Canis lupus familiaris: one gene and its partner. The protein of the gene in region 1 purifies or fractionates together with the protein of each later gene. This does not show direct contact. Links are inferred from orthologs where the notes say so. Each region holds a gene or a part of one and is shown on either strand. Other genes may lie near its edges.

Evidence for each region.
Region 2: the proteins of REXO4 (region 1) and RRS1 purify together in Homo sapiens (co-immunoprecipitation; 3 studies listed by BioGRID and IntAct, with this or other methods). This does not show direct contact. The link is inferred for Canis lupus familiaris from reciprocal best matches to the Homo sapiens genes REXO4 and RRS1.

The regions. Positions count from the first base shown.
Region 1 is NC_049230.1:49,882,800-49,886,192, forward strand, and holds the end of REXO4 (RNA exonuclease 4), read right to left. Parts: intron 2,647-3,393; coding exon 2,572-2,646; intron 2,080-2,571; coding exon 2,005-2,079; intron 1,377-2,004; coding exon 1,245-1,376; 3' UTR 508-1,244; downstream 1-507. Other genes in the region: serine/threonine kinase-like domain-containing protein STKLD1, read left to right, coding at 131-220.
Region 2 is NC_049250.1:16,481,688-16,485,113, forward strand, and holds RRS1 (ribosome biogenesis regulatory protein homolog), read left to right. Parts: upstream 1-888; 5' UTR 889-1,015; coding exon 1,016-2,113; 3' UTR 2,114-2,614; downstream 2,615-3,426. UniProt on the Homo sapiens protein: Involved in ribosomal large subunit assembly. May regulate the localization of the 5S RNP/5S ribonucleoprotein particle to the nucleolus.

The DNA of each region.
Region 1 (3,393 bases):
CAAATGCCCCAAACCTAAAGGGTGGAGACTTTCAGACCTCTCCACTGAAAGGCAGATCATCACAAAAATACCTACTCCTAGGCCCCCAGAGTGTCCACAGCAACAGTGCCTGCTGGTTGTCTCTTCCCAGGAGCTGGTTTCATACGCAGAGACGGTGCTCCTCAGCCTAGAGGCCAACACGCCACCAGGCTCCGCGGGAGGAGAGTCAGGCCTGCCGTGAGGCGGCAGGCCCCCCGAAGCCTCCCACCCCCTGCCCCTTCTCTCCTGTCCTTTCTTTCCTTGTACATCCCTGGAGCTGCCCAGTGAATGGTTTTCCTTAGGGTTGGGGGGGGAACGTCACTTCACTTTTCTTGGGGATGAGGCCCAAGGCTGGAGCCTGGTGGGGCTCTGCGGGCTCGGATTGGCAGGCGCCACACAGGCCTTGGCCCTGGCCCGCTCAGGGAGGCAGCTGGACACAGTGGGCCTTTGGGGCCATCCTAAATGAGGGAAACAGTAACCTCCACAAACTTCACCTCCAGTAAAAACCTGCATTTATGTTAAATGTCCTCAGTGGGGTTGGGCCTTCGTTGTGCAGCGGTCAGGTGGCCCAGGGTTTCATGCACCAAGTGCGACTCGTAGCCCCCCGATTGTTCTCAGAAAGACCAGCACACCTGGGGTCAAACCCATGGGATGCTCCAGCCCAACGGCTGGGGGTCGGATCGACACGTCCATCTTAGAGGGGGAGAGGCGCCACCTCTGGGAGTGACTGCTGTCACTGAGCATAGACAGCCTGAGCCTCGCCGCCACACTGTGGGCCCTGCCCTTCTGTTTAAACTTGGTAGGTCTACACACGGGCGGGTGGGGGGGGGGGTGCACGGGGGTGAGAAGGGGATGGCGCTCAAGTCCAAAGGCAGCCATAGCCGACTCCGAGACAGGGCCAGGTCCAGGAGTCCAGCAGAGTTCTTTACGTGATCGGACTCAGAGGGAAGAGGGGCCTCCTCCAAGGAAGGCGCTGCAAACCCAGGAGTGGGTACTTCCCACCCCTGGGACCAGGCAAGTCCCTGGCAAGGCTGCTGCCACACTGCAGTGGCAGCAGGTACCTCCCTCCATCAGTCCCCATCAGCCACCTCTGGCTGTGCCCAGGACAGACGCTCCTGCCCATGCTGCCCACCCTAAGTCCCGGACTACACGCCCTGCCACCAGGACAGTGAACGTGTTTCGACACAGCTGCTGCTCTGGGGAGACCCAAGCTGTCCCATGCTTGGTCACAAGCGCCTGTGGACGGAGACACTGCTGCTGTCTGGAGTGGGGGCTGTGGGGTGCCTGTCCTGGGCCGTGCTCTCCCACTCCTTCTTCACCAGGATGTACAGTCTCATTGCTGCCTGGGCATCCTGAATCTAGGGGACACAGAACATTACTGTGACTGTCTGAGCAGGTGACACGCATGGCTACAGACCACCCAACCCCACAACTGCCAGGCCCGAGGACCAGACACACACACGAAAAAGCCAAGCCAGGCAGCAGTTTAGGGACTCGATCTTGGCCAGGCTTTGGTGACCCTGGTGCCTCACTTATGGGGGAAAAAAGGAACCCAAGGAAGGGCAAGGACAGACACACGGACACGTAGGCGGGAGGACATCTCTGAGTGTAATGCCATGATGTGGGGGCTGGATTCCAGGGGCCAGCAGCCTGGCACCAGCACTCCTTAGCCCCCACACTGCAGCCTGTCACCAGGCCCAGGGACTAGCTGGGGCCATGTCACCCTAAAAGACCTTCAACCTAGGTTGGGGACTTTTTCTCCAAAAAGCTGCAATGATGGTACTTTTTTGTGTTCAAATGTTAATTAACTAAACGTAAACAAACATTCAGAATTTAAGAACGCTCTGTGAGCCTGCTGTGCCATCTCACTTTTAGGGACCAGAGGCCTCCTACAACTAAGTTATCCAGGCCCCTGACAGGGCACCTTGGCTGTATGGTCAGGGATGGCCCCTGATCCTGAGGACAGTCCCCCCAGGTCACACTTACCGAACAGTGCTCTGCCTGCTGCACCTGGATCCCCAGGATTCTCTCTGCAAGCAGCTTCAGAGATGGCCGCCCACTCTGCCAGGGGAGAGGGGAAAGCACACAGCCACACTGGGGTGCAGGCCTTTGCAGGCTCTGCCCTAGGGCTGCTGGGCACTGCACTGGGCAGGGAGTTAGGGGAGTCACCTACTGAGCCCCAACCCAGTGCCCCTCGATGTGCCTTCACCAGAGGTGCCGTGGCCTCCAGGGCTGGTGACACCTGCAGTCAGCCCGGAGAGGAGGACCCAGGCGGAGTCTGCATCTCTCTTCTAGCCTCAGGCCTCCTGCTACAGCAGATCTGAGGGCGGCAGCTCCCCTGAAATGGTGGGGGTCTTCTTGCAGAGATTGGGGCTGGAAGAATCTGCTCCTGCTCACATGGACCTCTGGGGGCAGCCCTCAGCAGAACTCTATACTTTTTTTCCTTTTAACCTTTGAGTTTCAAAACTTAAGACAACCCCAAACCAAAACCAGAACCATTACACAAACCAGGAGAACAACTGTGACGTATAGAGCCCCACTCATTGTAAGTACCTTCACTTGACTCTTGAAAGGTTTGTATTTCTGTGTGTCCCGAATCTTCTTTTTTGGGTGATCAAGAAACAGTACCTGGAAGAAGAGAAGAAGGATGGTCACTGTTGTTTGAGCGTGGTGGCGGGGCTCCCTCCTGTCAAGGTGCCTCTCAAGGGACCCTGATGCAAAACACACTCAGGTAAAAGGGGACTGATATGAACTCGGACTTGTGATAGAAAGCTATCACGCTGTCTGAAGACCATGCCCAACCCTAAGAACCCCATTAATAAAGCCTCAGTCTCAAAGCCAGGGAAACAGGAGACCAGCAGCCACCACTTGACCAGCGAGCACAGTGTTCTTGCATTGTCAGCGGGTGTCACACAGGCAGGATGTCGGGGGGATAACAGATTGTAGCAGCTCATCCTACGACCTCAGGAGAGGGCTGGACACAAGTGCGCCCACGTCACCAGAGATGGGGCAGGCACAAAGGGGCTGCAGGACCAGTAGGGAGGTGGCCACTAAGGGTCTGTAGCACCGCATTGCAGTGGGCAGAGGACCTGCCAGCAGTTTCAATACTTCAAAATTTCAAAAGGCAACACAGGCTGACATTCCAGCGTGCCTGAAATGTCTGAGAACCCCAGGGTTCCATGGAAACGCCATGCCCAGAAAGGGCAGCCTCCCACTCTGCCTGCCCTGCTGCTTTCATCTAAGGTGGCTCAGTTCCTCCCATAGCAGAGACCCTCAAGGAGCAGAGGCTGGATGTCACAGCCTCTGGGGCACCAGAAGTGGCCCCTTCTGGGGAGATAAGAGGAGCCCCAGACGGCCCAGTGGCTGTGGGGGGAG
Region 2 (3,426 bases), on another chromosome or scaffold:
GGCTAACATACCGGGAACTAATGTTTCATATTTTCCACTCATGAGTTGGGCTTAGGTTAAACAATCTGTCCAAAGCAGGTCCTGTAAAACGAGATTCTAGGTCATCTGACCCAAGAACCGGGTGTATGATCACCGTATAACACTGCCTCTTTAGCCTACTCCCAGAGCGATTAGAAAGAGTAATAATTGGTATTTCGTTAACATTTGTTGCGCCCTCTTATGTTCCATACCAAGCTCCCCCAGAGACATATTAACTCATTTATCCTTGAAACAGCCCTAAGAGGTAAGTGCTATTACCACCACATCTTACAGGTTTTTAAAAATAGGCCCAAATACCCGAAGGTCCAACAGCAGGGTTGGAACTCGCGCAGTCTCACTGCAGAGCCCAGCGCTCTTTTGCCACAAGCCTGGAGAGGATGAAATCTAATTGCCAGGGCCCGTTCGCCTGGAAAACAAACCAAATCTTCCACAGTTAGCTTTATGTGCAGTTGTGGGACGTGTCTCTCGGCCCACACCTAGGACTCCCCGCACCCCCACCCCCACCCCCACCCCCCATGAACGGGTCTGGGCTCGGGTAAAATATAATTTATCTAGTCCCAGAAGCGAAAACATCTCGTGAACTGATTTTACACTGAAATTGTTAGCAGTCGCTCGCGGAGCCCTCGAACTCGACGTCCAAAATTTGCACCGCCCCTTACGCCGCTGCATCCTGGGAGCCACAGCCCCAGTTAGCCCTGGAAAATGTAGTCCAGACTCCTGGGCCAGCACCGCCTACCTCCGGGCTCCCGCCGAAGGGCCTCCGGGAATCCCATCTGCTCTCCAACACCGCTCTCTGCCGGCCTTTCCTCGGCTTGCCGGGACTGGGAGCCTGTTCCGGGTGCCCCGGAAGCGAAGCTTTCTCTTCCGCAACGAGCGTCTCGGCGGCCGCACGTGCTTGCGTTGCCGGGGCGAGAGCCGGCGTTGGCAAGAGGGGCTCTGAAGTGCTTTCCCGGAGCGAGGGAGCCGAGGCCGAGCCATGGAGGGCCCGAGCGTGGAGGAGCTGCTGGCAAAGGCGGAGCGGGACGAGGCAGAGAAGCTGCAGCGCATCACGGTGCACAAGGAGCTGGAGCTGGAGTTCGACCTGGGTAACCTGCTGGCCTCTGACCCGAACCCCCCAGCGGGGCTGCGGCGCGCGGGACCCTCGCCGGAGGCGGAGCTGCAGGCCCTGGCGCGGGACAACACGCAACTGCTCATCAACCAGCTGTGGCAGCTGCCCACGGAGCGCGTGGAGGAGGCGCTGGTGGCACGCCTGCCGGAGCCCACCACGCGCCTGCCGCGCGAGAAGCCGGTGCCCCGGCCGCGGCCGCTTACACGCTGGCAGCAGTTCGCGCGGCTCAAGGGCATCCGTCCCAAGAAGAAGACCAATCTGGTGTGGGACGAGGTGAGTGGCCAATGGCGACGCCGCTGGGGCTACCAGCGCGCTCGGGATGACACCAAGGAATGGTTGATCGAGGTGCCCGGCGGTGCCGACCCCTTAGAGGACCAGTTCGCCAAGCGGATCCAAGCCAAGAAGGAACGCGTGGCTAAGAATGAGCTGAACCGGCTGCGTAACCTGGCTCGCGCGCACAAGATGCAGCTGCCCAGTGCGGCCGGCATGCACCCTACGGGACACCAGAGTAAGGAGGAATTGGGCCGCGCCATGCAGGTGGCCAAGGTCTCCACCGCCTCTGTGGGGCGTTTCCAGGAGCGCTTGCCCAAGGAGAAGGCGCCCCGCAGCTCCGGCAAGAAGAGGAAGTTTCAGCCCCTTTTCGGGGACTTTGCAGCTGAGAAGAAGAGCCAGTTGGAGATGCTGCGGGTGATGAACAGCAAAAAACCTCAGCTGGACGTGACGAGGGCCACCAATAAACAGATGAGGGAAGAGGACCAAGAGGAGGCTGCAAAGAGGAGGAAAATGAGCCAGAAGGGCAAGAGAAAAGGCGGCCGGCAGGGCCCTGGGGGCCAGAGGAAAGGTGCCCCGCCCAGCCAGGCCGGGAAGAGAAAGGGGGGCTTGGGAGGCAAGATGAACTCTGGGCCGCCTCGTTTGGGCGGCAAGAGGAAAGGAGGGCAACACCAAGGAGGGAAAAGAAGAAAGTAATTTTCACCCTCGGACCCGTCTGTAAACGAAGAACTGTACTAAATGTTAAGTTCTAGTTACTGGGTTGGGAGGCCAGGAATGTTGAAAAAGATGTGCTGCCTTCACTGAGCTTGAGGTTGAAGGGATAGGCTGCCCTCCTCACGCCCCCCAGAATAGTATGTAAATGCTGGACTCTACAAGGTAATGTTTTTCCCACAACCAAGAATTGGCTGGAGATTAAAGGATGTATTTGAGGACCTAAGAATCAAGGAAAGAATTCAGTGGAAACTGGGAATGAGTTCTATTTTTAAAGACGTATTTTTTTTTCTTTTTGACTTTGGAAACTGAGGGAAAGTTGGTCGTTTTTCAGACTTACATTTGATTTCTGCATTATTTTTATAACAAAGGAGTGTATCAAAGCAAGGGGGAGGGGACAGAAAGATTACAATTTAAAATGACTTACAAGTAACTCTTATGAAAGTTATTTAATTAATAAAAGTGTGTATCTAATGTCGCTTTTGACATTTTGGCTATTGGTAGAAATTCTAAGTAAAGCCAGGGGATACCTTATTAACATTATTTTAATTTGCTTTCTAAAAAATATAAAGCGGGTAATTTATGGTGATTTCAGTGATACCAAAAGAAGTAAGAGTTTTTTCTAATAAGTAACAGATGTAATATTGAAAGTGCTGTACAACTGCTGTCTCTTTGAAAAAGGATTTTATGCTTTTTATTACTGTGAAAACATTTATGGTAAATTATAAATTTGGGCTTCACTAAATAATGATAATAATCCTCATTAATCCAGAAAATACTTAAATGTTTTCAACATTTATGTCCCAATTTTTTTTTTTTTTTTAACTTCAGGTAGGATCTATTTTGAGAAGAGATAAACCCACCAGATCTTTAACTGGAACACTGTTATTTTTTATTCATTTGTCAAACTGACCTTAACTGGTTTAATTAGGAGGTCAAATGTTTATAGCTTTTATGGGCCTCGTTCCCTAATTGATCTTAGTAAATCAGTACCTACTGAAAAGGATTCATAGTACATCTAGAATCCAGGGGAGACTCATGAGCCACTCTGTTTTTTTCGGTCTTGTAGTTGATAGGAAATTTAAATTGGGAGTTCACTTTGTCCTTTTTCAGTGTTGCCTCACTTTTATGTCGTCTTTAGAAATTGCCATAGAAGAAAAGATTAATTCAAATTACATATATTACTATAAACACAGATGTTAAATTGATACTATGTTAGGATAATTTGTGATTAAGTTGAAGTTGAACTTTGCCATCATTGATCAGCTCTCCCACTGTGAGGTGGAACACTTGACCCT